3 linked regions of the Callithrix jacchus genome follow. The protein of the gene in region 1 interacts with the protein of each later gene in a biochemical or structural test. Links are inferred from orthologs where the notes say so. Each region holds a gene or a part of one and is shown in the gene's direction. Other genes may lie near its edges.

The links.
Region 2: the proteins of DNAJC3 (region 1) and THAP12 form a complex in vitro, tested with the Homo sapiens proteins (2 studies listed by BioGRID). The link is inferred for Callithrix jacchus from reciprocal best matches to the Homo sapiens genes DNAJC3 and THAP12.
Region 3: the proteins of DNAJC3 (region 1) and EIF2AK2 form a complex in vitro, tested with the Homo sapiens proteins (2 studies listed by BioGRID). The link is inferred for Callithrix jacchus from reciprocal best matches to the Homo sapiens genes DNAJC3 and EIF2AK2.

What each region holds. Positions count from the first base shown.
Region 1 is NC_133502.1:11,414,995-11,426,088, forward strand, and holds the start of DNAJC3 (dnaJ homolog subfamily C member 3), read left to right. Parts: upstream 1-5,370; 5' UTR 5,371-5,477; coding exon 5,478-5,559; intron 5,560-11,094. UniProt on the Homo sapiens protein: Involved in the unfolded protein response (UPR) during endoplasmic reticulum (ER) stress.
Region 2 is NC_133511.1:64,616,410-64,627,477, forward strand, and holds the start of THAP12 (52 kDa repressor of the inhibitor of the protein kinase), read left to right. Parts: upstream 1-4,936; 5' UTR 4,937-5,069; coding exon 5,070-5,158; intron 5,159-11,068. Other genes in the region: protein GVQW3, read right to left, coding at 3,606-4,070. UniProt on the Homo sapiens protein: Upstream regulator of interferon-induced serine/threonine protein kinase R (PKR). May block the PKR-inhibitory function of DNAJC3, resulting in restoration of kinase activity and suppression of cell growth.
Region 3 is NC_133515.1:77,861,165-77,871,501, forward strand, and holds part of EIF2AK2 (interferon-induced, double-stranded RNA-activated protein kinase), read left to right. Parts: intron 1-1,539; coding exon 1,540-1,698; intron 1,699-3,420; coding exon 3,421-3,601; intron 3,602-9,189; coding exon 9,190-9,318; intron 9,319-10,337.

The sequences.
Region 1 (11,094 bases):
TATTTTCTTCAATGCCTCTGTCAGCAATATGCAGTTAAAACCAGGTACTGTGATCGTTCACCTGATTTTTGGTTCTTATGAAGGTGCTTTTTTTGTGTGTAAATAGTTGTCAAATTTGGTGTTCCTGTGGGGGATGGTGATCAGTGGAGGCTTCCCTTTGACCATCTTGCTCCGCCTCCCTCATGTTATTTTCAAAATACATTTTGACTATCATTGTCATTTAATTATTGTGTTTATAACATGTATATTTAATACAATTGTGTTTGTATGTTTGGATTTAGATGTGAGAATCTGGAAAATAATAAGTCCTTATATTTGTGTTATTACAAAAATTTTCTAAGATCAAAACTATTTAAAGATAAAAGTGTTTACGTCACTTAATTTAGAAATTAAGAATGTTTAAATTTTGAAGAGTTTACCCATTGTATATAAAATATAATATTGTACTTAATTGCATATAAAGTTCGAAGACACACAGCTGCCTTTAAGTCAGTATTAACACATTCCAATGGCCAAATATTCATCTATTTATTAGAAACAGTGCATGAACCTTTTACAATACAATTTTTACAGTTTATAGTCCAGAACTGTGATGTTAGGGAATCTTTAAATCACACTTCAAAACTTTCATCTCATAACAACACAACCTATTATTTAAATGGACTCACATTTTAAAAATAAAAAATACAGTGAACATCATTTTTCTTTCTTTTAGATATCTTGATAGATTAGTTGGACTAGAATATAACTAGAATGTGTATGTAACAACAGATATTTTAAAAATCAAATAACCTACAATTTCCAAAGTGAGAGAAAAAGAGAACATCAAAATGAGGAGAAAAGAGCTGGCTTAGGCAACTATTATCTCTGTAAAGGGCTAATTCTCTTTCTTCTGCAAGGAGAGGAGATAAAATTTAATGCAGAAAAACTCATTTGGGCACAAATACACAAAAGGGAGTCACTGCAATTGATTTAAAAATACTCAGACTCTTTACAATATTTTAAATGAACTTCTATTGCTGAAACCATTTTCAACTAAGAGTATAAAAATAGTAGAGAGAGGTCCCAAATTCCCTTTCCTTACTTTTTCCCTATGTTAGCATCTTGCATAACCATGGTACATTTGTCAAAATTAAGAAAGTAATAATGGTACATTACTATTAAACTTGAGACTATTCATATTTCAGTAGTTTTTCCACTGATGTCTATTTTCTATTCCAGGATCTGGTTTAAGACAGCACATTGCACTCAGTCATCAACTAAGTCTCCTCAGTTTCCTTTGGTCTGTTACAGTATTTCAATCTTTCCTTGTTTTCCATGATGTTGATAGTTTTGAGGAATACAGGTGTGTTATAGAATGTCCTTCAATTTTAGTTTGTGTGATTTTTTTTCATGTTTAGACTAGATTGGGTTATAGGTTTTGAGAATACCACAGAGGTGAATTGCTCTTCTCATCACATCATATTGGGAGTAAATGCTATCAATATTTTCTATTTTATTGATGATTTTAATCTTGACTACTTGGGCAAGATAGTGTTTGTAGGTTTCTCTACTATGAAGTCACTCTTCTCCTCCTTTTCCATACTCTATTCTTTGGAAGTTAGTCACTAAGTCTAGCCTACATTCAAGGAAGGAGGGAAAATGAGCTCTACCTGGTGAAGGGGGATGTATTGTGTCATGTTGAATAATGGCTCTCAAATATTCTACATTCCAACATCCTGTCATTGTTCTATAGCAAAAGGCAGTTTTGCAGATGTAATTAAATTGAGGAACTTGAGTAGGGAGAATATCCTGGATTATCTCAGTGGGCCCAATATAACAAGAATCCTTATAAGGGGGAGGCAAAAAGGTAAAAACGACAGAAGATAATGTGAATACAAAAGTGGAAATTGCAGTCATGTGGCTAGACGCCAAGAAACAACAGAAAAGAAGGGAAAAGCAGAGAAGACACGATGTGGTTTAAAAGCCAAATTTTATATGAAGGTACTGAAATTTTATCAGAATCCACAAATCCTTGAAAAGAAACAGTAAATTTGACATAGAAGGGTCATTTCTCATTCATCAGACTGGCAAAACCTGAAAATCAATTATCGTGATGGTGAGTATATAGGAACATAAACAGCTGATAGAAACAGAAAATTACTTTTTTTTTTTTTGAGACAGAGTCTCACTCTGTCACCAGGCTGGAGTGCAGTGGCACAATCTTGGCTCACTGCAACCTCCACCTCCTGGGTTCAAGCAATTCTCCCACCTCAGCCTCCCGAGTAGCTGGGACTACAGGTGCATGCCACCACGCCCAGCTAATTTTTGTATTTTTAGTAGAGATGGGGTTTCACCATGTTGGCCAGGATGGTCTCGATCTCTTGACCTTGTGATCCGCCCACCTCGGTCTCCCAAAGTGCTGGGATTACAGGCTTGAGCCACTGCGCCCGGCCAAAAATTACTCTTTTAGGGAAAAATCATCTGACAATGCCTCTTAAAAGTTAAATGCATTCGTTGACTAAGCAATTTCAATTTTAAAAATCTAGTTTTTTTTTTTTTTGGTTAAGGTCTCACTCTGTTGCTCCCTCTGGAGCGCAGTGACATTGTCTTAGCTCACTGCAACCTCAAACTCCTAAGTTGAAACTATCCTCTGCCTTGATCTCCTGAGTAGTTAGGACTACAGTCACGAGCCACCACACTTGGCTAGTTTTTAATTTTTTTTGTAGAGACAGGATCTTGCTATGTTGCTCAGGCTAGTGTCAAACTCCTGGCCTCAAATAATCTTCCCATCTTGGCTTCTCAAAGCACTGAGATTACAGCTGTGAGCCTCTGCGCCTAGCCTAGAAATGTTTCTTGGAAACAAAAGCACAAGTTTGTAAAAATAAATGTGGAAGGATGTATATTGTGACATTAATTTAATGCTGCCTTTTTTGTTTTTAATTTGTTACAAACGGTGTTTATAAGTGCTCTACTTGTTTCTGAACATTTGTTTCTCCTCATAGTTAATTAGTAAGCACATCTTATCCCCTTTACCTCCAAAATATGTTCTAGATCTGTTCACTGCTCTCTATCAAGTTTTTCCTAGTCAATAAACATAAATCAACGTATTAAAAATTATACAATACTCTTAATTTTGGATATATCGTAAATATGCTACCATTGTTTTTAAAATCTTTAACAGATAGTATGAATTACAGTATAGATTTAATGTTTAATTTCAAAAAGACTGCATAGATTCTGACAAATGCAAACGATATTTACAATTACTTTTCTTACAATCACTGAATAACTTTGGTTTTTGGTTTTATTGGCAAAAGGGATTAGTGAAAACCATGGCTAGATGAACATTGGAGCAAACATTCCCAAGCATTATACATATAATTGTAGTTTTTTACACTTATTTCTGTCTAAAGTAATGTTACCATCTTTGTTATAAAATTATCTTTTACGAAAAATACTTTGTAAAGCTTAGTTCTAATATTACATAATTCATAGTTATGTAATTAATGTTCAAAATCACTCAGCATTGAAGACCCTTGCTATTTTTATTTTCTATAACACGAAGTCTATCGCCTCCTTAATAATTTTCAATTTCCATCCTTAGAATTTCTTCAGCTCCGCTACTTTTTCCTTAAGACTAGGGTCATAGGCAGCACACTGGTGAAACTCAGTCTAGGAGTACTGCATTTTGTTTACAAAGCTATTTTCTATGGTCCGCATTTTGTTGGCTGCCTTGGCTACAGGACCTCAACTGAATGTCTTCACCTGTGTATTTGTGGATATTGAAGCCATCGGCAGTTTTTCAGAGACACTACCTTGTGATATCGAAAAACGCAAGACAAAAACAAAACAAAACAAAACAAAAAAACCCAAGGAATTTCTGGAGTCTCTCTTCACTATTTTGCTAGTGTTTGACTAATGAGTAACACTGGTATAACATTCTACAATTTACAAGATCATTTATTTGCTTCATGAAACCTCAAAACAGACCTTGGAGACTATCAGGATCCTACCCACTTTACAGATGAAGATAACTTGCATAATAGTGGTGGCGTTTCCTGGATCTGAATCCTTTACTCTTCACATTATATTATGTTTCCTTCCCCATAACTAATAAAGAACTCCGTTTTTTTCTTTCTCGGAACAATTTCTTCCATATTAGTTCCCTTTTAAAAGCCCCCTTTAGTATGTCTTCGGGGAATCACAAATTCACTATACTATTTATAATTCATGAGTTTCTCTAATAGTATCAAGGCAGCAAATACAGGTGAAGTAATAAGTATGCACTTGACGGTACTTAACACACACAAAGCATTGTTTTACCCCGTGTAAAAATACTGTTAGTGTACAGTGTGTGTGCTGGTGACGCCGGAGGAAGTGGCCAAGAACAGGCGTAAGACCGCATTGAGTAACTTCATCTCGCTCAAGTTCATATCTATCTTGAATTTCCCCTGGTAAGCCCAAGATGCAGGATCCCGTCTCACATTTTTTTTTGTTTTCTTAACAGTTGACGTTGGCTGCGCTCAGGAACGCCTTGCTCTCATAAGCCACAGTGCCTTTCTGGTCTCTTCTTCACAGGGTTTTCTACGACCGCTTTTTTTTTTCCAGGGCACGCTGGTTTGCTGAAAGTTGGGGTTCCACAGCCGCTCTTTTTTTCCTGGGCACGCTGGTTTGCTGAAAGTTGGGGTGGGTGGTTCCCAAGTTTCCAGGCCAGTTACTTACCTGCCTCAGAGCAATTACGCACTTCTCCCTGGTTGTCCCTGAAATGGTCTAACCATCAGATCGCCCTAATTAACTAAGCCCCAGCTTCTCCTGGCCGTTTCTTGCTTACGGCTCAGTTCAGACAGTAGTTGTTCCGGGACGCTCAGCAGGAGGCTGTGTTTCCCGGTTCACTCGAGACCTCAATTCCAGGCGTCCTGCAGCTCCTCTCGACTCCCCAGGAACGCGTTTGGCCTTCCCATTCGGACGCTGAGGCTGCGCCTTCCACTCCTAACACCTCGCGGGCGAACCACAAATGGATCAAATCATTCTACTCGCCAACCTAGCACAGCGGGACTGGCCCAAAAGGGCCGTCTCAGCCTGCGCATGCGGGCTCGGCGGCCGCCACACACTCCCCATCCGCCTCCCTCCCGGCGGCCGCGGCGGTTTGGAGATAGCTGACAGCTCTGCGACCCGCGGACGCAGCCTTGTCTCGTGCTTCCACGTTACCCTATCAGGGATGGGGCGGGGCGGCAGCCTCCGCAGCCTATCAGCGCGAACCACGACCCAGGCGAGCCCGGGAAAGAAGAGGCCAGGAAGAAGGCCATTGGACGGCGGCGGAGCTCCGGGGCGTAGCGTCGTCCGGGCCCCGCCCACAGCTGCCTTTCTCCGCTGGGCGCCAGAGACGCTGAGGCCTGAGCTGGAGCCGACGCGGGCGGGCGCAGCTGCTGCCAGAGTGCCGGCGCGGGCTGGTGGGCCACACACCGTTCCTTCTCCTCACTCGCGAGCCCTCGGACATGGTGGCCCCCGGCTCCGTGACCAGCCGGCTGGGCTCGGTGTTCCCCTTCCTGCTGGTCCTAGTGGATCTGCAGTACGAAGGTGAGTTCTGCCCTGCCCTGCCCTGGCCGGGAAGCGGGCTCCCGGACCAGGCCACCAGCGCTTCCCCGTGTGCGCCCGGGCGCGTGTCCCAGGACTACTCAGGAGGTGGGGCGAGCGCCGCGGCCTGGATTGGGCCTGAGCCTTCGCCCAGTTCCGGGTTTGCCTGGGGAAGAGTCGAGGGGACTGGCGGGCCGCGGGGCTGGGACAGTGGGTTTGGAGTGAGGAACATGGCCCTAGGGGTCGGAGGAGACGGGGTGCGCCCCGGGGCGGGGAGCGGGGCCACCGGGCTGCGACTTCAGGACGTCCTGGGACGCGGAGACTTGGGCAGCTTTCGGGTCTCGGCCTCGCTTGGGACCCTCGGTGGGCGCCTGGGGACACTGGCGGTCATTGGTGCTGGGAGGAACCACTGAGGTGGCCAAAAGGCTTCCTTCGCTCTGGAGTTCTTGGGCGGGGTAGGGTTGCCCTGTCCGGCTGGGAGTTGGAGAGGACGGTGTTGACTGTTTAAAAAGTTAGTAACCATTCGCATTACGATGCACTGTCGTGTGGAGAAATCGTTAGGTTGGTGCAACGAGGAGCCGCTGTTGGAATTCCTCCTCCCGGACGGCCAGGCACAGAGTTTATGGTTTTACAACTCCCAGCATGGTGTCATTCAACGTCTGGCTGGCATTTCTTTTCCAAGTTCTGTGAAGAAAAAGGTTCCCCTGAAAAGATAGGAGCGATTAAATTTCTCTTCAGTCCTGCAGACTGGAATGTTGGCTACTCCAACAGAATAACGAAAATAGAGGGCTGTCCTAGCTTAGATGGCAGAGGGGAGGAGGAAGAATTGAAGCTGATAGTGCCGACTTAACGAATGCTCCTGGCGAGGTTACTGTGCGAAATATTCGAGTATAATGACACATCACATGCACGGATCTATTTTCATCCTCATAAAAAGGGCTAGTTGTCAAGGAGGTCAAATTAAACCTGAATATTCCATTCAGAGAGAACGAGGAGCTAAAAATTGGAAATTGTTTATAGTGAATTCCTCATAAATTATAAAAAATAAAAAGTTCTCAGCTTTTTATTTTTTTTTTTTTAGGTAGTACTCCCTAGTTTTTAGGTCTCACTCATAGCAATAGGCTTTTGCTTTTGGTTCCCCTGGTAACCATATTTTTTGAACCCCAAATCACAGCACATAGTGTGGCAACACTGGGACAAATAATTTAGCAGTAAGACTGCCCCCAGAAAATTTAGGGGATTGGAATTTGAAGGTCTCTACCACTTTAATATATGGGTCATATATTCTAATTCTTATGCATTGTCAAAAGCTTCATTCCTCCTGCCTCCCACCATCTGTAGTATTTATCTCCAGTTATCATTAATGATTTATTTTGGACACTTAAGAGAAAGTTGCCTATGTTCTGTTAAATGGTGTTTTTTTTTTTTGTTTGTTTGTTTTGTTTTTAAGTTACAGAGATGCACGATTTTGAATGATTGCTTTTCCCACTACCTTGTGAACCACCTTTTTAGAATTGCTGTTCTGTAAGATTCTGTAGGACTCTCTTCATTTCCCTCCTGTGCTATTTTCGATAAGAAAACCTCATTAGAGAGCTTTTCTGTGTAGGAAGCCCTGGTGACATTTCTTAGAGGAGTGCCAGAGTGTCTTTAGGAGCATTGTTTGTGTAAAGTAGCAGGGACTTGGTACAGGTGACAGAGAGGAAAGGAAAGGAGCCTTTCTGTAAGCCGTCTCTTATTCATGGAAGTGTGTAGTGTTATTCCCACTTTACAGACCAGGGAACTGAGGCTCCAAAGGTTTTACTAAAGTTCATTTTGTGTGCAGGCTGGAGACAGAAGTTAAGTGGTTGAAAGCATGTGAGTCCAAGCATTTGTAAGTGATGGCAGCTGAGAAAAAAACAGCACCTTTTTTTTTTTTTTTTTTTTTTTTTTATAATTAACAAGAAGGTTATTTCCGGCAGGTTTAATATAGTGGTTCTCAAACTTGAGTGTGCATCAAAATCGCACATGAGGGCTTTCTAAAACAGAGTGATGTACCTCACTTACAGAGTTTCTGTTTCATTAGGTCTCGATGGGACCTGAAATTTTGCGTTTCTGGAAAGACCCCAGATGACCACATTGGAGAACCACTGGTGTAATAAATTATATAGAGGAGTTAAGTTAGGTGTCTGCTGTGTATTTGATACTGGATTTGGTGATGGGGTTATAAAGGTAAGAAGCCCTGACTTGAATTAGCAAACTGTTAGCTCCCGTTTTCCTAAATAAATTCTGTGTCTGGATTCACTAACCTCATAGTTCTCTGGTATACAAATGGTGCTACTGCTAGGCCTGAGGCTTAATGAAATTGTGTTGTATTAAGGATTTTTGTTAAATAGGTAGATTTTAGCTGCTCTTGTCACACAAAAAGTAATTATGTGAGATGATAGATATATTAATCTGCTTCACTATTGTAACCATTTAATCTGTGTGTATCTCCTAATACTATGTTGCAAACATCAAATGTACACAATATAATTCACTTTAAAAAAAATGAAGGAAAATGGTTATGAGAGAAGTGAATGTGGAACGAAGAGTGGCACAGGATGGAGAAGAGATGACCTAGGTTTTTTTTTCTTCTGATTTTGAAATACTTGCCTCTGTTTTCTTCTAGACTTTTTGGTTGTCATCCAGAGACAGGAAGTATATATATCATGAATTGAAAGTTTGAGTCTTTTAGCACCCTTCCTTCTCAAAGGCCTTTGAAAGAGTGAAGTCTAAAGCATTAGATGAAGTAGAATTTTTGGAATAGAAAGAAAACTTTAGTAGTATCTGCTTTAGTATTCTCATGTTACAGATAAGGTAGTTACTTCAGTTCTTTGTTAATGGTTTGTTCTGTTGGTGACTTGAGTAGCAACACAGTCTGGGAAACAAACCTTTTTCTGTTATCATAGTTTTATCTCTTTCTCTTCCTTAACATGCTATCTAGACTCATCTTTTCTTTATTTCACTGAGCTGATTAAACCATATATTTTGACCAGTTGAAAATCTATATGTGTAAAAGTTTGTGATAATTTTATTTGAACCTAGCCTACTAAAGGTATGTTTTGTCTTCTCTAGGATTTTCTTGACATTATTGAAATATAGAAAGAATAAATAGTGTAGCAAAATGACTTTAAGTAATTTATATAAATTAAGCATTATAAAAGGTGGTCTAGAAAAATATTTTCTAGAATTATTTTAAATTCTTTAATAAGATAAACTATAGTTAGCAGTAGTATCAAAGTTCCAGTTCTCTTGACTAGTTACTATTTGCTGAGACTGCGCGGAAATTCAGTGGGGCAGGGGGAGTTGTTCTGAGAGGGGATGCACTGTAGTAATTAGGTTTTACTTTCCCATATGAAGTTAGTTGTTGTTAAGTTTAATTTCTGCTGTGATTGATTAATGTCCTTATGAACAAATTAATCTTTGTTCATATGGAAATATCATGGGAACCCATTCACCTGCTCTTCAGAACTCAAGCTTTTCAATGATAGATTTATTTTTCTTTCCGTATCTTTAGAAAGCTACTTAAAAACTTAAATCTGATGAATTTGTATCATTTGGAGTTCTGGAAATATATATAAGAGTCATTTAATCAGTCAGCAAATTGTACTAACTATATTGTCTTTGGTGAGATATATATACATAGTATAAAAGTCATGGCTTTTGCTTTTTTTACAGACCACTTGGGGTTTAAGATATGCATTTGTGAAGCATCCATGTCTGCTTTTTCTCCTTTCTCAGTGTAGACCGAGTGGTCCATCGTTGTAGTTAGTACACTGCAAATGACCATTTATTTATTGGTCCCTATAATCTTTTGTTTTACTTGCCAAAACCCAGGACTAGTTAAATTCAACTTGGCCAGTTCTTATTATACCTCACAGGTGAACATGGATGGAGGAAAAACACAACTTTGCTGATAAGTCTCATTTATCTTTATTTTAATTTTTAATTTTTTTTGAGACAGGGTCTTGCTCTGTCACCCAGGCTGGAATGTAGTGCCATTATCCTAGCTCAGTGTAGGCTTGACCTGGGCTTAAGCAGTCTTTTCATCTCAGTCTCCTGAATAGCTGAGACAGCAGGTGTGCACAACCACACCGCCCACCACTTTTTTTTTTTTAATTTTTGTAGGGATAGGGTCTTCTTTGTTGCCCAGGCTGGCCTTGAACTCCTGGGCTCAAGCAATCCTTATGCCTTGGCCTCCCAAATTGCTGGGATTACAGGTGTGAGCCAATGCACCTGGCCCTGATTAGTCTCATTTTAAAGAAACAATCTCAGTTGTAATTGCATGTTAAATACTACTAACATTCCTCTAATTCTTTAGTATGTCTATTCTTGAAAATCAGTATTTCAAGGATTTTCCTCCCTCCTTAAGCCTCTGATTTAAACTCTCCTTTCTTCTCTTCCCTGTTTATTCTTTTAGACCTGTCTTTATTGAGAAAATGAAAGCCATCACAAGGCAAGTTGTTCTTTCTTTTTCTTTCTTTTTTTGAGAGGGAGTCTTGCCCTGTTGCCAGACTGGAGTGAAGTGGTGCTATCTCGGCTCACCGCAGCCTCTGCCTCCTGGGTTCAAGCGATTCTCCTGCCTCAGCCTCCCGAGTGGCTGGGACTACAGGTGTGTGCCACCGCGCCTGGCTAATTTTTGTAATTTTATTAGAGATGAGGTTTCACCATGTTGACCAGGTGATCTCAATCTTTTGACCTCATGATCTACCTGCCTTGGCCTTCCAAAGTATTGGAATTACAGGTGTGAGCCATTGTTCCCGACCAACTTCTTTCTACCTCAGAATTTACTAGTGTATCTACATTTGTACCTATTCGGCTACTTTTTCTCATATTAAAATACTTAGAATGTCTCTATTCCCAGATAAATCTAATCTGTGTACTTAACAACCTGGATTCCATTTCCTCTCACCTTCTGAAAATATTGCTCCTACAGTTGTATCTTTGTGCTGCTGTAACAAAATACAACAGACTGAGTAATCTATTTATTTTATATGTATATATACATATATATTTATTGCACTTTAGGTTCTGGGGTACATGTGCAGAACAGGCAGGATTGTTGCATAGGTACATACATGGCAATGTGGTTTGCTGCCTCCATCCCCATCACCTATATCTGGCATTTCTCCCCATGTTATCCCTCCCCTACCTCCCTACCCCCTGCTGTCCCTCCCCTGGTCCCCCCCAACAGACCCCAGTGTGTGATGCTCCCCTCCCTGTGCCCATGTGTTCTCATTGTTCAACATCCACCGATGAGTGAGAACATGCGGTGTTTGATTTTATATTCTCGTGTCAGTTTGCTGATAATGACGGTTTCCAGATATATCCACGTCCCTACAAAGGACACAAACTCGTAGTTTTTTATGGCTGCATAGTATTCCATGGTGTATATGTGCCACATTTTCCCAGTCCAGTCTATCATCGATGGGCATCTGGGTTGGTTCCAGGTCTTTGCTATTGTAAACAGTGCTGCAATGAACATACATGTACATATGCCTTTATAATAGTATGATTTAT
Region 2 (11,068 bases), on another chromosome or scaffold:
TGGGGCAAATGGAGCAAGGTAGGGTGGGGTGATGGAAGGGGAGAAGTACATAACATCAGTGATAGGATAACCTGCCCCAGAAGGCATGTATTTCTTTCTCAGCAGTGGCATAAAACATTTCATGTGAACTCTGAATTAGGATGGGCATGGGGGTGGGGACAAAGATCAACCTAAAAGCCAAACAGAGTCATTGACCAATTGTGTTAAGCTTGAGAAAGTTTGCAGATGGCCAGCTCTCTTCCTGACATCCCACAGAAAACCAGGCTTGATCTGTGGTTAGGTGGAGGTTCTCCTACCAGGGAAAATACAGTTGCTAGGATAATGGGCTTTGGATGCTATAGCTCTGAAAAAGTTTCATGACTCTTGGTACCAGAGGTAACCAAATTGCCTCCTTGAGAAACTGCTGACACTGGGTGCCTCTGGGGAGTGCAACTCATGGTGGCTACGGGTAAGAGGGACCTTTTCCTGCCCACGCCCCTTACAAAAAACAAATCAACACATCATCCCCCCATGTTGCCCCACCAAATTCTTGAGGATAAGAAGGCAACCTGGGGCCAGGGCTACAGCAGACAATTTCCTTACTCAGCAGCTGAAGTGGGGAGCTGGAAGAAGGATCCAAAAAATCAGAGAGAAGAATTGTAAGTTAAGTGGAAAAACTTCAATAGACTCAAAGGTCTATTGAAGGATCAGCATACCAAAATGACCAAAAGCAGCTAATGAAGGTGTGACCCGGGACCAGAAAACAAAGCAACAAGGAAATAGAGGAGTAAGAGCAAACTGGTGCATAATAAATTGAGAGGTGTCTTAAAACAGCCAAGGGGAAGAGCCTGGGGTGTGAGAGACACATAGCTAGATGTGTGAGACTATGGGACCAGGAGCTCAAGAGGCCTAGGTAGCAAGGTGCAGGCCAGGGCAAAACGTGGATCAGCAACGAAATGGATTTGGTAGGTGAGCACATTAGGAGTAGTCATATAAGAACTTTCCTGTCTGGGGATGCCTAGATCATGCTCTACCCTTGGGTTTAGATTCTGAGCAGCCAAATGTGAATGGTTTGCTCTGGGTAAGTCCTTTTCATTACAGCCACCTGGAAGCATTTGAATTCACACTCCTGATTACCTGCTTCTGGTTGCTGTGTCTAAACCATGTCTGAACCAGCATAGCTCTGGTACTCTATACTACAGCAAGGGTCTTGGTCCAGCATCATTGGCAGGGACACACCAGCACTGTTCATAGGACTGGAATCAAACCCAGAAGTAAGATGTCTCAGGACTTCTGGGTTACAACAGGTTAGAAGCAATGCCTGTAGGCAGGGTTGTGGGATCTTGGCCTGGGTCCAGAAGCATATAAATCGGCAACAATTACCACTGGGTGGGCCTCATTAAGGATTAATATAAGTTCAGCAACAAAGACGCAAGAACTAGTGATGAGGACTTTGTTCCTAAAGTGCAGTGTCCGTGGTGCCAAGTGCTTGTGGGCAACCCAGAGCCACATCTGATGTAAGAAGACTTAATGGTCCTGAAATGGAATGTCTAGAAACTGTTAAGGAGCTAAGGTCTATAAGCTGTTGCTTGGTTTAAGAGTTCTTATATAGTATCTTCACTTTGTGGGACAAGGTCTAGCTTTCAAGGTGCCTCAGAATTAACAGGTGTTAGCTGGGGATGGTGGCTCATGCCTGTAATCCCAGTACTTTGGGAGGCCGAGGTGGGTGGATCACCTGAGGTCAGGAGTTCGAGATCAGCCTAGCCAACATGGTGAAACCTCATCTCTATCAAAAATACAAAAATCAACCGGGTGTAGTGGTGCATGCCTGTAATCCCAGCTCAGGAAGCTGAGGCAGGAGAATCACTTGAACCCAGGAGGTGGAGGTTGCAGTGAGCCGAGGTTGTACCACTGCACTCCAGCCTGGGCAGCAGAGCAAGATTCCATCTCAAAAAACAAAACAACAACCACCACCACAACAAGAACAGGTGTTAATGAGGAACTTGTAATTTTTGCAGGTGAGTAGAGAAAGTGAAAGAACAGCACTAAAAGTAACCGTGATGAATAAGTAAGTGATGCGCCTCTATTCTCAAGCAATATTGTTTAAGAGGAGCTGGTATACATAAAAATCCTCGAGTAAAACAAAGACACTGGCCAATTCTGTGAAATGCTGTTACCAAACCCCTGCCCCTGAATGTTTCTAGTCTATGTGGTATTCCTTGGAACCCACTTGAGAAAAGTTCCATTCCATAAATCCTGGCAGAGGTAGGAAGAGAAGAAATGAACGAGTTTGAACTTGCAGAATCTGCTTGTTGGAGGTTCCGACTGGAAAATCAGATATCAAATTGGTTGTTACAAACCAATTCACAGACTCAGGAGAAGCAATTTATCAACTGGCATAGAGTTGGAGGCATAGGAGAAGAAGCAAATGTCATCATTTTCTACTGATGCAGGTTTGATGCCTCATGCTGTTCCACCTGCTTTCCCTAATTTCACAGTCCCCTGTCATACCCATCCTCATGGATCCAGTTCAAGAACCATCTCATCCATGTAGCCCGTCAGCTCCTGGAGATATTGTTTATAACTTCCACATTGTCAACGTCCAGCAGTGTTCTAAAAACAGCAAGTTCTTAAAACTATAGGCATTAGTTACTAAAAACAGGCTGCTGTATGGGAATCCACACATAGGTATCAGGCTCCCTTAATTCAGGGTCTACAGAACCACCTGGTCTTCCTCCCCACACATCACAGCTTAGGCCTGGGTCTCCAGGTTTATATTTTCTAGGACCAGATCCTCCTTTTCCAGCATAGGATACCCAAATGAATGGGGGTCCAAAGCACAAGACTAGAATGAAGCAAACCCAGCTCTTCTGTGAGGTGCAGGCCTGAGAGAAGATCAGTATTGGTGGCCATCCCCTCCTAACGCGCTCCCACTGAGTCATCTGGGCCAGATCAGCCCTTTGGGCTAGCATTGCTCAGTAGTACCAGCATCCCACTGCCTTCTGTACCATACCTCAGGCCCTGACTGCAAAGCAGGATGAAACTGTAAGCCTTCTTTTGGGGTCCTCCCAGAACAGCATGTCTCCCTGGGCACAGAGATACAGATCCAGGAGATCCTGTTCCTCACTTCTCACTGGCATGATCCTGAGGCAGAATGTTGAGAACAAAGGAACAGGACTCACAACAAGCTAAGGTCTGGGCAGAGAAGAAATTCAAACTTGTTGAGCAAAAAAAAAAAAAAAATCAAGAACAAGCAAGTACCAGAAGGCAACAGCCAGAAGTTCTTCAAAGTTGTGGAGAACAGCAAGGAGGATGGTTCAACAGTCCAGCAAAGAGTAATGAGGAGGGCCATGACATACAGGGAGGAGTAGCAAAGACTGAAAATAGGTGAGCAGCCAAAGAAGGTGCCTAACAGTGAGGCAGCTTCCTAGTTCTGGTTCAGCTAACTCACGTTCCTCTCACCATGGGGTGAACCAATTCTCAGCTACCCTGGGGGGAAGGCTTGTTGAAGATGAAGCCTGAAGAAGCTGGCTGGCGGGGTAGTGGACTCTGGGATGGGATACGGGCAGGGGCATTTCCCCACCAGCTTCACCCTTGAGATGACTCCATGTTTCAGAACCTGTTACCTTTTTCCTCAAACATGAGCTATTTTTCCTAGTTTCCTTTGAAAGATCGGACTGAAAGTCAAGTTTTCGTGGTGTAGGCTCACCCTTCAAAACACCGGAAATAACTTTGGCAGAAATCTTCCTCATGTTCAAGTTTTCTTTCAAAATGAGCCTAACAGTTTCTTTGTCTAAATTTAACTCTTCAGCCATCATCCTCACAGTTAACTGCCTGTTTGAACAAACCAAGTCCTTGACCTTCTGGATATTTTCATCTGTCCTGTGGGTGACTGGACGCCCACTTCGGGCGTCATCTCGAACATCTTCCCGTCCTTCTTTAAACCTTTTGTGCCAGTCAAAAACTCTGGCCCTTGACATGACTTCATCCCCATAAGCTTCTTTTAAAAGATGGTGGGTCTCACTTGCAGACTTATTCAACTTCACGCAAAATTTGATACTAATCCTTTGTTCTAAATAGCGGTCACTCATTCTGGCACTGAACAACACAGGAGCGTTAACAGGCCACGACTGTGAGGGAAAGACAGATCAATCTCTATAGGGCTGTAGGTGTAATAATATCGCTATTCTTGCTTTCCTAGAAGCCTGGTGAGGAAAGAGTAATTGCGTTTCTGAGATTTTGTCCCTCAGCTTCCAGTCGAGACTAGGGAGATCCGTTCTGGGAAGCTAACAGGGCCAACAGTCGCTGCAAAGCTGGAAAAATCAAATCTCCTACAACCACGTCTGCATCCAACCAGTGCACGCACATCTGCCAAGATTCTGCCAATCAGTCACCAAGGTCGCCCCGATTCCGCGGCCCTTAAAGAGTATATGGCGATTTCTGCAAGAAAGGTCTAAGTGGTGGCAACTAAAGCAAGCAAGAAGAGGTGCATAGGTGATGTAACGTGCAAGCTCGCCCCAGATCTGCAGAAACCCGCGCACGCCAAACCTACCAGAGCAGCCTGGGGCTCGCCTACTCTAGGAGCCAGGGAGACAGGCGCGCATGCGCAATTCCCTTCCCTCGCGGATTAGACTGTGCGCAGTCGCACTGAGGCAGCGCGCGCCAAGTCCCGCCTCCGTCTTGTCACACGCCGCCAGGCGCGCTTCGTTGCGCATGCCCGCCTGCGGAGAAGGCGGAAAGGAAGGGCGGGGGAGGAAGGCTGAGGGAAGAGAGGGCACCCCCGGGCGTCAGGGTGCATTGTGGGAAGGAGGCGGCAGCGTCTCGGGCGGGCGGGAGGTGCACAAGCGGCGGCGGCGGCGGTAAATCCTCCCGGCCGCTCACAGCACTGTGGAGCCGCGTCCCCAGCCCGGCCTCGGACCGCGGCACCCCTCCTGGCCCTCGCGGCTTTCCGCCCGCCAGCCCCTCCCCCGCGCGCTGGCCCTGCCGAGCCGGCCGGCCGGCCTGGCTTCCCTCCCCGTCCCCGACGGGCGGGCGGACTGCCCTGAGGAGGCGGGGAGGGGAGGGCTGGGCCGGCCGGCAGGCGGGCTACGATGCCGAACTTCTGCGCTGCCCCCAACTGCACCCGGAAGAGCACGCAGTCCGACCTGGCCTTCTTCAGGTTCCCACGGGACCCGGCCAGGTAAGTGGCGGGCGCGGAGCGGGCGGCCCGGGCCCACCTCGGCGGTGAGCGCTGCCAGCCGCCGGCCCCAGGCGGGCTCCCGGGCTGAGAGGGGCGTGGGAGAGGGGCGCAGCGCACTGCCGTCGACCCCAGCTTTGGACCGAGATGGGGAAGCGGCCGTCAGCCGTGGACGGGCGGGCGTCCGGGGACCTCGGAGCACGTGCTCTGGCGGGGGCTCGGCGCAGAGGGCACCACCTCAAACGTTAGGGAGCTGGGGCTGCCCGCGGACGCGGGATGCGGTGGGTTCTCGCCGTGGCTCACTTGCTGTATGACCTCGGGCGAGTCGTTTACCTTTCTGGGCTTTAGTTTCCTTAGCTGTCAAAAGAGAGCAGGACTCTATGGTTGTGGCCATTGGGGCCCTTCCCTCTCCTTGCCACCACCCCCGGGACGGTGTTTCTGTTTTGATTCCCACTGCCTTCTTTCGTCACAGCTACTCTCTCCTTCGGACTTGTCATTGCACGGTTCAAGGTTCATTTTCTGGCTGTTACCGTTACTCATTTTCTCACTTGGTTATTGTAGGCATAACAGGGTGTACGCGTGGGGCGTGGAATTGGTATTGGAACCCCTTCCTTGAGATAACCCCCACACACTGACTTATATTTAGGGAGTGGTAGCGTAGGGACCATGTTTGAAAGGCCGAGATGTTTCGTAGGCCTGTCTTGTTGGTTCATTCTTCAAAAATCAATGCCTACTATGTGCCGAGCTCAGATGTTAGGTGCTGGGAACTCATGGGCAAATAAGGGTGTCACTGCATGCAGAAAGCTCTCAGTCCATTAAGGGAACAGGTACAGCAACAGGGGATTATAATGTAGTGCGTTATTTATTAATTAGTTCAATAATTAATTATTGAAGGTCTACTCTGTGCTTGGCATTATTGTGAGCAATGGGGGTTACAGATGAACACATCGAAGTCCTTTCTCATGAAGATTACATTCTATTGGCGTTGGGGGGGGGGTCGGGGAATAAACAAGTAAAATACAAAGTGTGTCGGATGATGATAACTACTGTGGAGAAAAACAAGCAAAGGTTAGAGGGTAGGGGAATAAATAGTACCAAAAGACGCACAATTGCTATTTTAAATAGAGTGGTTAAAGAAGGCCTCACTAAGAAGGTGAATTTGAGCAAACACCAAGTGAAGGGGCCAGCATGGAGATAACCTTGGGCAGCAGCATTCCAGACTGTGGAAACAGTAAATGCAAAGACAGGGCAGCCAGGAGTCCATGGGAAGGGACTGGGAGAGAGGTAAGATGAAACCAGAAAGGTGTGTATATGGTAGGGCAAATTCTGTAGGGTAGGACATTGTAGGTGTACTATGGTTTTTATTCTGAGTGAAATAGCAAGTCATTGAAGGGTTTAGAGAAGAGCCTTAAATTTTAGCAGGCTGAGTGGCTGCTCGTTAAATAGATTGTAGGGAGGTAAAGGTGAAAGCTGAAAGACTAGTTAAAAGGCTGTTGCAATAATTCAGATTAGTAGAGGAGGAGGTGGCAATTTTGAGATATGGTTTAAAGGTGAAGTCAACAGGTTTTGCTAATGGTTTGGAGGTAGCTTGTAAAAGAAAAAGAGAAGTCAAGGACGACTTCAAGATTTTAAAAATCTTTGTTGGCAGGGTTGGTTTGAACTCCTGGCTTCGAGCAAACCTCCTGCCTCGGTCTCCCAAAGTGCTAGAATAGGTTTGAGCCACCGCACCCAGCCGATTTCAAGAATTTTAACGTGAGCATTTGCTGAGATAGGGAAGACTGGGAAGAGCAGGTTTGGGTTTGAGAGGCCTGATAGGTATTCCAGAATAGATGTCTAGGCCGGCACATGGTGGTTCACGCCTGTAATCCCAGCACTTTGGAAGGCTGAAGCAGGTGGATCACTTGAGGTCAGGAGTTCAAGACCAGCCTGGCCAACGTAGTGAAACCCTGTTTCTGCCAAAAATTAGCTGGGCACAGTGGCTCATGCCTGCAATCCTAGCACTTTGGGAGGCCCAGGCGGCCAGATCACCTGAGTTCAGGAGTTCAAGACCAGACTAACCAACATGGAGAAACCCCGTCTCTACTAAAAATACAAAATTTTCTGGATGTGGTAGCACATGCATGGCACATGTAACATGGGAGGCTGAGGCAGGAGAATCGCTTGAACCCGGAAGGTGGAAGTTGTGGTGAGCTGGGATCATGCCACTGCACTCCAGTCTGGGCAACAAGAGTGAAACTGTCTCCAAAAAAAAAAAAGAAAAAAATTGGCCAGATATGGTGGTGCATGTCTGTAGTCCCAGCTGCTTGGGAGGCTGAGACATGAGAATTGCTTTAACCCAGGAGGCGGAGGTTGCAGTGAGCTGGGATTGTGCCACTGTACTCCAGCCTGGGGGACAGAGTGAGATTCTGTCTTAAAAAAGAAAGAAGAAAAAAAGGGAAGTCTTTCATTATACCATATACAGAAATGAACTCCAAATGACCTATACTTTTGTTTAGATCAAGGCCTAACTATAAGAGCTATACCATTAAACTTTTAGAAAAAGAAATACAGATAAGTCTTCATGACTTTAGATTTGGCAGCACATTCTAGTTTGTGTTTTGTTTTTTGAGAGAGCCTCACTCTGTTGCCCAGGCTAGTGTGCAGTGGCACAATCTCGGCTTACTGCAACCTCCGCTGCCTGGATTCAAGAGATTTTACTGACTCAGCCTTCCAAGTAGCTGGGATTACAGACGCCCACTACCACGCCTTGCTAATTTTTGTATTTCTTTAGTAGAGATGGGGTTTTGCCATGTTGGCCAGGCTAGTCTCTAACTCCTGACCTCAGGTGATCCGCCAGCCTTGGCCTCCCGAAGTGTTGGGATTACAGGTGTGAGCCATCATACTCATCCGGAGAACATTCTTAGATATGATCAAATTACATGAAATAAAAAGAAAGATAGACTAATTGGACTTCATCAAAATTAAACTTTTGTGTATCAAAGGACATTACCAAGAAAGTGAAAAGAATGAAAGAAAGTACTTGCAAGTAATTCACCTGATGAGGGCCTTGTATTCAGAGTATATAAAGAACTCTTACTGGCTGCCTAGGTTGTCTTTAAAATAAAATTTAAAAAAAAAAAAAAGAACTCTTAAAATTCAGCAACAAAAAGACAACCCAATTTAAAAATAGGCAAAGGACTTCTTTCCTTAAAGGAAAGATACAAGTGGCTAACAAGCACATGAAAGATGAAGCAATTCTCTTGCCTCAGCCTCTCGAGTAGCTGGGACTACAGGTTCGCACCACCACGCCCAGCTAATTTTGTATTTTTTAGTGGAGACATGCTTTCACCATGTTGGCCAAGATGGTCTTGATTTTTTGACCTTGGGATCCGCCTGCCTCGGCCTCCCAAAGTGCTGGGATTACAGGAGTGAGCCACCTCGCCCGGCCATGAATTTCTGTTTAAAAGAATGTTTATTGAGATGCAATTCACATACCATATAATTCACCCATTTAAAATGAACAATTTGGGATATATATGTTAACTTTAATTTTGTTTCAATACATACAGCAAAATTTGCTATATTAACTATTAAGTGTACAATTCAGTGGCATTTGTTACGGTCACAGTGTTGTACAACCATCTCCACTATTCCCAAAACCTTTTCATTATCCCAAACAAAAACTGCAACCATTAGGCAATAACCTCCCATTCCCCTGTCCTCCCAGCCTTTGATAACCTCAAATCCACTTTCAGTCTTTATAAATTTGCCTGTTCTAGGTTCATGTAAGTTGAATCATATACTATTTTTCCTTTTATTTCTGGCTTGTTTACATAATATGTTCAAGGTCTTTTTAGCCAACTCAAATCTGCTCGTACCCTGTGATTTCAAGTTCTACTGTATTTGATAGTTTCCTTTTCACTGTCCCCAGAGTTAGTTATAACAAAGAAGTAGTTTCCAGAGGCGTTACTGAATTAATAACAATATTTTTAGGGTTATTAGTTTTAACCCCTCCCATTTCTTCTGTAAACAGGTGGTAGGGAAGGTTGATAAAAGGGGACATTGTCAGTCTAGTCTTCAAATACTAGCTAACATTGTTAACTAGCAATAAAGATGAATATATTTAATGCTATTAAAACAGTACATTTCCCAGTAATCAGTTATAAATTCCATGCACCCTTTTAAAAACAGCTATTTAGAAGTAATTTAAACTTCTAGAGTGTAATTAATGAAGTGTACGATGTGGCAATACATAGCATAATAATTTTTATTGTTTTAGAAAAAGTGGCATTAATATGCTTCTTTTTTAAAAAGGTGAAATTATCAACCAGCTTAGGTCAGTGACAGGGTTTAAGTAAAAACAAAACAAAACACTGCCTGAGGTTGCAGTGAGCCGAGATCGAACCACTGCACTCCGACAGAGTGGGACTCCACCTCAAAAAAAAAAAAAGAAACACTGCCTATACTGCCTAAATCTTGATTGCCCCTGGGTGGCTTGCCTAATGCCAAGGCTTGCCACTGTGAGGCAGCTCACAGTGAAGCTCTTCCCTAAACCAGAATGTGTACAGGTAGAGGTAATGAATTGCTCTGATGAGAGATAGTTGCTCTCTCCTTCCTCCTCAGGCAGCTAGCTAGTACTCGCTCACCCAAGATGGGTGAGGGCTTCCAAGGTTCTGGCAATTTAATCAAGGCTGATTGAGAGTCGATGTACTCTACTTTGTGAAATGTAAAACAGAGGGGCGGGACTCATGAGGGTGCCTGTATTAGTGCCTTTGGGCTGCTATAAGAAAATACCTTAGACTGGGTGATTTTTAAACAACAGAAATTTATTTCTCATAGTTCTGGAAGCTGGAAGTCCGAGATGAAGTCAGCAGCAAATTTGGCGTCTGATGAGGGCTCACTCCCAGCCTCTTAGATGGTGCCTTGCTGTGTTCTCACATGGTGGAAGGGGCAAACAAGGTGTCCCCCACACGACTTAAGTCACCTCCCAGATGCTCACCTCCCAACAGCACTGCACTGAGATTGTTTCAACGTGAATTTTGAGGGGACACAGACATTCAGAACATAGCATTCCCCTACACCTTTCAGGGAGTCCACAGTGTCAAACCTTTTCATGATAACACTGATATTATTTGCATTTTTCATATTCAGTCTCTCAGGATTGGACAGTGGAATATTGGGAGTGCTACATAACATGATGGACCATTGCTTTGATAAATTGTGTATTGTGTCTTCTAGAATTTTCTAAATATTCACATCTGGGTGTTCGGTAGACATTTTGTCAGAAATAAACAAGGCTGCCACTTCAAGGAAAACAGCTGATAATTTGAGCATTCAAGTTGAAAATTAGAATTTTGGAAAATTGTAATGACAGAATTAGAATCTTCCCTCTGTGAGAGGACTGAGTCCTCTAAGTCTCTAATACTTAAAGACTCTGAGTCACTAATATTTAAAGACTTTTCTGGTGAGATCACTGATGATACTGATGTGATCTTTTTTTATATTGTATAATGAATTGCATTAATATTTATGTGGTATGTCTAACTCAACTAATATTTTCCTAATGACCAATTTATGGTTTTACAGGAACATACATGGATAAAAGATCTATTCAAAGTGCAAGATAGACTATGGGATTTTTTTTATGTACTAGGGCATGAAAAAGCTCATTGGTCTGGTTTTACATTTCACATTGCAACCAATCTTGAAGAAACTACCACTTGTGGAGAATTCATAACTGCATGGAAAAGGGAGGAGTATTATAATAACCTTTTTAACTGTATATCATTGTGGGGCTAGATTTTCTTTATGTATTTCAACCAAAGCAACATATAGCAATAGATTAAATTAGCTGTCCTCTGTTAAGCTGGACATTAAAGAGATTTGTGAAGATGAAGAAGTGTCATTTTTCTCACTAAATGTTTTTGTTTTGGA
Region 3 (10,337 bases), on another chromosome or scaffold:
ATAACTTGAGCCCTAGGGGCAGAGGTTGCAGTGAGCCAAGATTGTGACTGCACTCCAGCCTGGGTGACAGAGCGAGACCCTGTCTCAAAAAAAAAGAAGGAAAGGAAGAAAAGGAAGGAAGGAAAGAAGGAAGAGAGGGAAGGAGGGAGGGAGGGAGGAAGGGAGGGAGGGAGGAAGGAAAAATAATAGATTGTAGGAAGGAAGCTAAAATAATAACATTGTTTTAGGATTGTCAACATATGAGTAATTTTTTCTTTGTTTTTGCAAATTTTTTGTCATATAGTTTAGAACTTTTTGCATTAAAAAATAAAATTATAAAATGTTTGTTTATCCTTCCTCATCTTTGAGACCTCCAAATTATTTACTGCATTTAGCATGGAATTGTCTTAGGTCTTGGCAATACATCCCTATAATGCCTCCCACCATCTCACCTTCTCTGCATAAATTGTCCTTTTGGGTATTTTTGCCACACATTGAAAATCCTGAATTAGGTACTTTACACTGCCTGGGTTACCTAGCCTTGCCGCCAAATGTGGTTTGCTTGTGAAATCTAAAGATTTTAACAAAGTCTAAGTGAAACATAATGTATGATTTAGCTATGAAAAATTGCATCAGCTGGGTCCAGTGGCTCATGCTTACAGTTCCAACACTTTAGAAGGCTGAGGCAGGTCGGTCACTGGAGCCCAGGAGTTTGAGACCAGCATGGGCAACATGGCAAAATCCCATCTCTACAGAAAATATTTTAAAAGTAGACGGGTGTGGTGGTGTGTTCCTGTGGTCCCAGCTACTCAGGAGGCTGATGTGGGAAGACTGCCTGAGCCTGGGAGGTTGAGGCTGCAATGAGCCAAGATCGTGCCACTGCACTCATCTTGGGTGACAAAGTGAGACCCTGTCTCAATAAAATAAATGAATTAAAACTGCATCACTGGTTCTTTTTTTTTTTTTTTCCAAGATGGAATCTTGCTCTGTCACCTAGGCTGGAGTGCAGTGGTGTGATCTCGGCTCGCTGCAACCTCCACCTCACAGGTTCAAACAATTCTGCCTCAGCCTTCCGAGTAGCTGGGATTACAGGCACACATCACCATGCACGCCCGGCTATATTTTTGTATTCTTAGTAGAGACGAGGTTTCACCATGTTGGCCAGGCTGGTCTTGAACTCTTGACCTTATGATCTGCCTGCCTTGGTCTCCCAAAGTGCTGGGATTACAGGCATGAGCCAACGTACTCGGCCCCACCACTGGCATTTCAAGACTGCTACAGATGATTTTTAAATTGTCTAATGTTTGGCATTCTTGAAGTTGCTGCCTTTTATTTTATGTTGAGATAAAATAAAAGAGTGGGAGTGAGAGCACCTATGGTTTTTTTCAGTATGTTCACTTTTTCCTTTTGAATCTCCTGGCTTCCATTCTAAAATTGTGTGAGAACGGCAATTGTTTAATAAGGGAATGTCGATAGTTGTCTCCGATTATAGGAGGTGTTTTGTGGTTGTTACTAGGGATGTACACTGACACTTCCATGTTCCTTGTGCCTTTTAACTAGCAAGGCAGAGCGTGAAGTAAAAGCATTGGCAGAACTTGATCATGTAAATATTGTTCACTACAACGGCTGTTGGGATGGATTTGATTATGATCCTGAGAGCAGTGATTATGATCCTGAGAGCGGTGATTATGATCCTGAGAACAGCAAAAATAATTCAAGGTAACTAAAAAGAAATTCTCATAATCATAAGAAGATGGAAGGAAACTGTTATTTACTCTGTGTGGGCCACTGGATAAGGCCATTAATTACTGCAGTTAATAATCACAATTCCCTCTGAGAGACACTTATCTCTCCATTCCGAAGGTAAGGAGAAAATGAAAATCTCCTCCTTGTTCCTCTCCTTGCTGCAGACTTGCTCTCACAACCCTTTGTTATATCCTTAGCTGTCTTCAGAAATCTCAGGTTCAGCTTTCCTGACACCACTGTGTAATGGAGGGCCTTGTGTATATGCTGGTTTCAGTACAGGCTGTAAATGTCGTCTTGTGGAGAGAGTTTTAACATATAGATGCTGCATCTGGGGGCTCCCTCCTCAACTACCAACACTTTTCTATCCCTCTCTTAGGCTGTGATTGGTGTGGTGCAGTTCAAGGGTTTCTTTGAAATGTAACTATACCACTTAGGCTGGGGTGGTGGGCAGTGAAAATAATTTTAAGACCACAAGCTGAGATGGGGGCACCCTTATGTTTTATGTCAGGTAAGCCACTGCCAAACAACTGGAAATCCTAAAGAGCTGGCATCTGTCTTTGAAAGTCAACCCACCTATTTTGGGGATAGTCCTCTCACTAAAATCCTGAGGCCAATGGGGTCCTGTTCATTCATTTTCTCCTGCCCCCACCTCCGTCTCTACCTCATGTAACTGAGAACTTTATCATCAGTTTCAGGACATACAGAACTTAAGGTTTCAGCAAATTCTTGGCTACCTTTTCCTGTTTTCAAGCTGACTTATACCAAGAATATAAATTAATATTGAGGCTAACTTAATTCAGAAAAAAAGTAAATCAATCTACGAGATTTATATCTCGTAGTAATTTGTTGGCACTTCTCCTAGAGTACCTTTCCTATTGTTTCAGGTTTGCTTTTCCCTTACTCTCTCCTATTAGACTATTATCCCCATGATGGCAAGGATAGTGTCTAACTCATTTTCTTATCTCTAGGTACCTTTCATGCTCAGTAGTTGGATGATGAACTAAAAGGTTTCAAATTACTTTATATAATAATGAAATTTAGTTTCCTGCAACTCTATTATATTCATGTTCCTATTTCTATCTATTAGCAAAGATGATTGCAGATCTTCAGCAATAAAGAATGGGTGGCTCATTTTTTTTCTTCTCTTTTTTGAGACAGAGTCTCACTCTGTCACTCATGCTGGAGCACAGTGGCACGATCTTAGCTCACTGCAACCTCTACCTTCTGAGTTCAGGTGATTCTTGTGCCTCATCCTCCTGAGTAGCTGTGACTACAGGTGCTGCGCCACCACACCCAGCTAATTTTTGTATTTTTAGGAGAGACGGGGTTTCACCATGCTGCCCAAGCTGGTCTCAAACTCCTGAGCTCAAGCAATCCTCCTGTCTCTGCCTCCCAAAGTGCTAGGATTATAGGCATGAGCCACCATGCCCGGCCCAGCTCATATTTTATAAATTAGCTAAACAAATAAAGCTCTGGACATCTGGGAACTTATGATTGAAATAAAAAATGGTTTATTATATTTTGATTCAAATTTATTATATTTAGATTTCTATTTTGAGACATGTTTTGGAGTTCTTTTTTTGTTTTGTTTTGGAGTTCTTAAGAAGATAAGGTGTAAGCTTTTAAAAAGATATGATTTTTTTAATAAATTTATATTTATTGTTACTTTTAACATACTGTGAATTTTATACCCAGATCAACGACTAAGTGCCTTTTCATCCAAATGGAATTCTGTGATAAAGGGACACTGGAGCAATGGATTGAAGACAGAAGAGGCAAGAAACTAGACAAAGTTTTGTCTTTGGAATTCTTTGAACAAATAACAACAGGGGTAGATTATATACATTCAAAAAATTTAATTCATAGAGATCTTAAGGTAAGCAGAAGTACTTTATTAGTTGATACATATAATTTACTAATTTAAAAATATATCTTCTTAACTGGACACAATGGCTCACACCTGTAATCTTAGCACTTTGGGAGGCTGAGGCGGGTGGATCACCTGAGGTCATGATTACAAAACCAGCCTGGCCAACAGGGTGAAATCCTGTCTCTACTAAAAATACAAAAATTATCCAGGTATGATGGTGTGTGCCTGTAATCCCAACTACTTGGGAGTCTGAGGCAGGAGAATTGTTTGAACCTGGGAGGTGGAGGTTGCAGTGAGTGGAGATTACACCACTGCACTTCAGCATGGGCAAAAGAGTTGAGATTTGAGACTCAACTTGAGTTCAGCCTTGAGACTCACCTCAAAATATATATATATATGTACATATGTGTGTGTGTGTGTGTGTGTGTCTTTAGTTTTAGAATGGTGGTTGATTGATAGTTATGAGAAAATGATATTTCTGATCCTCTAATGTTAGAATGGGTCTAGAACTAGCCCCAGATGTGGTTCCATACAGCTACTCAGAAGATCTCCTGGGCTACCTAGTGAAGTTATTGTGACAATGAGCCCTGTTAAAAGTCTCATTCACTTCTCATTCTATGTGGGTGATAGTCATACCCAGATGTAAGCACTAATAGCTGTCAAATACTGAACATTTCCATGCAAATAATTACTGTGACTGGCACAGCCACCTGGCTGCTCTGTCCCTGCTTCTCCTGCCTCCTCTAAGTGACTCAGGCTTATTTGAGAGGCAGAAGGGACTCTGTTGACTGTGGCTTTAGGAATATGGTTCCCTAATCTCTCAGTCATTACTCTTGAAGGCTGTCACAGCTCTTGGGTCAGGAATCTATTGTCTTGATTAGGCATTTCAACCCCATGACTGGAAAATTGCAGTAATCCTAAACTGGGAAAGTGTATCATCCATTAGTATTTTTGTTTTCCTCTGGCTTTCATGGTCTGGACAAGTAGATTCCCTGCTTTTACTTCTCATCAAAATGACAGAAGGTGAGAGACCGAATAGCCCTTCACAGCCTTTTCTCCATTCCATATTCCCTGTGACTTACCTACACCTGTCACAAGCTGGCCATCCTAAATCCTGTCCCTGGGCCTTTGCTCATGTTCACTCTCATGGGACATTCTTCTACCTGTCCCCTTTGGTTGTAATTTCTTTCTGGAGCCTTTTCTGGTCAGTCTGGAACTGCCTTTTTCTATTCTAGGCAGAAGTACCTCATTTAGGTGGCTATCTGTTTACCCCACTCCTCTAAAACAGCCAGGAATAAGGAAGGAAACAAAAAATTCCTTGAGAGAAATAAGTGCCCATATATACAGTTGTTTATTGGCTCAGATATGAATGAGTAGCACTTAAAAGGTATTGCTTCTGTGGTCTGCTCAGAGGCTGGCTGCCTGATGTGTTGGTGTTTTGAGTCTGCCTGGTTCCAATATGTCTCTTCTACAATATCTGAAGGTGTTATTTGAAGTTGCAATATCGTCAAGACTATTTCAAAAGGATAATTGTAGAGTGGTTATACTTTCACTTTGGGATAAATCACACATATAGGTAAATAACAAAATAAGCACAATTATTTCTATATATAATGATTTGCAAATAAATGCAGAAGTGTAGGCATCAAGTTCCTAATCTTCAGAATGAATTAGCAAAATTCTGACTGGTGCCTATCCACTTATTTACCAATTGTACCCCGCACTGTGTACTCTGTGTCATAGACTGGTCTTTCCTTGCATCTATTTGCAGAGAATTTTTGCTCTGGCTACGGTTGCTCAAGGGTCAGACTTAATTATTTTTAAATTAAAACAAATTTTTTGAGACAAGATCTTGCTCTTTTGCCCAGGCTAGAGTGCAGTGGTATGATCATGGTTCATTACGGCCTTGATCTCCTGGGCTCAAGCAGTCCCCCGACCTTAGCCTCCTGAATAGCTAGGACCACAGGTGTACACCAGCACACCTGGGTAATTTTTTGGTTTTTTGTAGAGACAGGGTCTAACCATGTTGCCGAGGCTGGTCTCAAACTCCTAGACTCAAAACAATCCTCCTACCTCAGCCTCCCACAGTGCTGGCATTCCAGGTGTGTTCCACTCCACTTGGCCTCAAGCTTTGATAGTGAGACTTCTTTCATCTTCTGTCACTTTTCTAGCTCTCACTACTACAGCTGTTGATTTCTCTCTTCTAAGAAAAGATTCAGTGAAGGTGTACACTTTTGGGGTTATGCTTTGCAAAATAGCAGGTGTAGGTGGTTTTGCCAGAGAATGGTCTTTACCCAATCCAGTCCCTCTTATAAAAGTCTCCAAATGTTTACCACTTTCTGTTGGAATCTTAGAAACTAGACCAAAGGTGCTGGGAGGGGACATAGGGGTTTCTGGAGTGAGGGCGTTTGTCCGAGGCTGCTTCTCTCTAAAATGTTCAGTCTCCTAAAGCCCCGGCTCTTTGGCTGTCCTTGGCCTGAGCATCAGCCCTGTTCCTGTGCCTCCTATGTGAAGTTTCACGCCTTTTTTATGCTCTACGACCCTATATTTTATCTAGTCATACTATAGCTGATTAGACAAAATGTGGCATTATTGTTTTTATTTCTTTTTTTTTTTTTTTTTTTTGAGACAAGTTCTCACTCTACTGTCCAGGCTGGAATGCAGTGGCATGATCTCAGCTCACTGCAGCCTCAACCTCCTGGGCTCAAGTGATCCTCCCACCTCAGCCCCCAAAGTAACTGGGACTGTAGGCACAGGCCACCAAGCCAGGCCAATTTTTGATATTTTGTAGAGACAGTACTTCACCATGTTGCCCAGGCTGGTCTCAAACACCTGAGCTCAAGTGATCTTCCAACCTTGGCCTTCCAAAGTTTGGGATTACAGGCATGAGCTTCTGTGTCCAGCCTCTTATTCTTTTATTTTCTTTCTTTCTTCCTTTCCTTCTTTCTTTCTTTCTTTCTTTCTTTCTTTCTTTCTTTCTTTCTTTCTTTCTTTCTTTCTTTTCTTTCTTTTCTTTCTTTCTTTCTTTCTTTTCTTTTCTTTTTTTTTTTTTTTTCATGAGACACAGTCTCACTCTGTCGCCCAGGCTGGAGTGCAGTGGAGCAATCTCGACTCACTGCAACCTCTGTCTCTTGAGTTCAAGCAATTCTCCTGCCTCAGCCTCCTGAGTAGCTGGGACTACAGGCACCTGCCACCATGCCCAGCTAATTTTTTGTATTTTTGGTAGAGACCATGTTGGCAAGGTTGGTCTTGAACTCCTGGGCTCAGTCTGCCCACTTCAGCCTCCCAAAGAGCTGGGATTACCATGCCTGGCCCACTTTTTCCTTTTAACAAACTATAAAAAGTGATCTGATATTTTTACTACAGAGTCTCATCCAGCTTGGATATTTACAGTTTCTTAGAGTCAGGCGAGATAGCCTTATATGGGACCAGCAGTTTCACTTGCAATCCCAACATATTCCTACCTGTAACTTGAGCATAGCATAGGAATCTTTTCTCTCCACATCCACCCCACGTCTGTCTTCAGTCTTCCGTCTGTATTATTAGTGTTAGGCTCCAATCTGTTAATTGAATTCTACCCATTTTTATTAATACCCATTTTTAGAATGAAGCAATATTCCTGTTCTCTCTCCCTCTTTTTCTTCCTCTTTCTTCCTCTCCTTCTCTCCTTTTTTTACTTTTCAACATCCTAGTTCCTCACCTCTACTCAATACATTCCTCTGAACACCTGATTCCTTGTGATTCTCTGAAACCTCCAATCCATAAAAGAAAAAAAAAATGAATTCTAATCCAACTGCTAATTTCTGCATGGCCGTCATCTCAGGCTGGCTTCTTGGAAGCTCCTCCTTCAGCCTTTCCTGGGCCAATAGTCTCTTCCCTCTCAGGTTCTTTACTAGGTAGGCCCTCTCATAAGTGTGTTATCCCACAGTCTGTTTGTATATAGCCTAAGATTGTACTAAAAGTCCAGCCTTTTCAAAAATGGCAAAATACTAGTTTTCTCATCAACTACGTTTCTGTTTTTATGGTCTTTAGAATGTTGGTCACTATGGCTTCAGCTTGGTGGCCTGTGGTCCCAGCTACTTGGGAGGCTTTGGTGGGAGGATCACTTGAGCTGAAAAGGTCAAGGCTTCAGTGAGCCATGATCACACCACTACAATCCATCCTAGACAACAAAATGATACCCCATCTCAAAAACAAACAAACAGAATATTAGTCAATACCTCCTATGGGCTGGGCATGGTGGCTCATGCTTGTAATCCCAGCACTTTGGGAGGCCAAGGCAAGCAGATCACTTGAGGTCAGGAGTTTGAGACCAGCCTGACCAACATGGCAAAAACCCGTCTCTATTAAAAATACAAAAAGATTAGCCAGGTGTCGTGGCACACACCTGTAATCCCCCAGCTCCTTAGGAGGCTGAGGCAGGAGAATTGCTTGAACCCAGGAAGCAGAGGTTCTGGTGAGCCAAGATCACACCACTGCACTCCAGCCTGGGCGACAGAGCAAGACTCCGTCTCACAAAACAAAACAAACAAACAAAACACCTCCTATAAAGCTATGGAGTCAGAATGACCACTTCTATTCAGTTCTTCCTTTTTTTTAAAAAAAAAAAATCTGCTTAAAGAATTGCATGGATAAAAAATATTTCAGAGCTAGTTATCATCTTCCAATTAACTTGGTATCCTTTCAAGGTGGAAGGGATATGTTTAAGAAGTTGTCAGAGGCTTGGAGAAATTGACATAAAAAAGACCCCCAAGAGGCCAGGCATGATGGCTCACGCCTGTAATCCCAGCACTTTGGGAGGCCGAGGTGGGTGGATCACCTGAGGTCGGGAATTCGAGACCAGCCTAACCAACATGGAGAGAAATCCTGTCTCTACTAAAAATACAAAAGAATTAGCCAGGCATGGTGGTGCATGCCTGTAATCCCAGCTACTTGGAAGGCTGAGGCAAGAGAATCGCTTGAACCTGGGAGGCAGAGGTTGCGGTGGGTGAGCCGAGAACGCGCCATTGCACTCCAGCCTGGGCAACAAGAGCGAAACTCCGTCGCAAAAAAAAAAAAAAAGACCCCCAGGAGAAATTCTGCACAGGCTAATCAGCATTATTGTTGGGAAGGATCCATTTAGAGAATCTCAAGGTTGGAAGGGATCTTAAGGAGGTCCCTATCAGATAATGGACTCTTATTTACAACATTTCCTCAACTGGTTGTTCAGCCCTATCTTGGGATGGAGAACTAACTCCCATTCTTTGGACAACACTATTAGGATATTAGGATATTTTAAAGCAAATCTTTTGGTCATTTCCACCCTGTAGTCCTGGATCTGTTCCCTTGGACCGTGCAGAGTGGATCCACTTGGCATGTTACTGCTTTCCAGAGGGATAGCTGTGCCCCAAGCCACCTTTTCTGTGAGCTAAGAAATCCTCACTTCTTTCAGCTGGCATTTTAAAGACCAGTGATATTAAATTCCCTGATTTTGGCTCCCTGTGTAACGGTAAAGCTCTTATAAGTAATATAAAATGGCCATTGCTGTGTATGATTAAGACATGTGGTAATAGTATGTGAAGTCAGTACATGTAAGTTCAATTTTTTTTTCATAGCCAAGTAATATATTCTTAGTAGATACAAAACAAATAAAGATTGGAGACTTTGGACTTGTAACATCCTTGAAAAACGATGAAAAGCGAACAAGGAATACAGGAACTCTGCGATACATGAGCCCAGAACAGGTAAGGTTTCTTTCCTGTCTCTCTATATTTTACTTCTTTTATTTTTAAAATTATAAAAAGAGTAGACACTTCTTATACAATTAAAACAGTATAGAATTATATAGAATAAGAATCGAACATTCCCCTTAACATTCTTCTCCACCTGCATTCTTCTCATCAGTTTGTTCTTTTAGATAATTTTCTGTGAGTTATAAAAACATGCAAACCCAAATATACACCCAGACTTTTTTTTTACATAAACATATATGTGCATACATTTTTCAAGGACTTGATTATTTTTTTGTTTTGTGACTATATAGCATAATCTCTCCATATTAGTTCAACAAGAGCTGCCACATTCTTTTTTTTAACTATATTGTATTTCAAAATGTAGAGCTACCATTATTTAACTATTTTATCTTTATGTTTTATTTATTTAATCTTTAATTTTTTTATTTATTTAATCTTTTTCTGTTGTTGTTCTTACTTAATTTATTTTTTTATTTTTTTGAGACAGAGTCTCGCTCTGTCACCCAGGCTGGAGTGAAGAGGCTCATTGCAACCTCTGCTTCCCAGGTTCAAGGGATTCTCCTGCCTCAGCCTCCCAAATAGCTGGAATTACAGGCACCCACCACCATGCCTGGCTAATTTTTACATTTTTAGTAGAGACAGGGTTACACTATGTTGACCAGGCTGCTTATTTTGTTTTAGAGACAGGTTTTTCTGTTTCACCCAGGCTAGAGTGCAGTGGTGTGATCATTGCTCCCTGCAGTCTCAAAATCTTGGGTTCAAGCAGTCTTCCCACCTCAGACTCCTGAGTAGCTAGGACTAGAGGCACATACCACCATGCCCAGCTAATTATTTTTATTTTTATTATTTATTTTTATTTTTGTAGAGATGAGGTATCACTATGTTGCCCAAGTTGTATTTAACTATTTTCTTATTGAAGGGTATTTATTTAGGTTGTTTACAACTTTGTACACCTATCGACCTTCCTCATTATTTTGGGGCCCAAGAACAAATAATTCTATGATAATCTA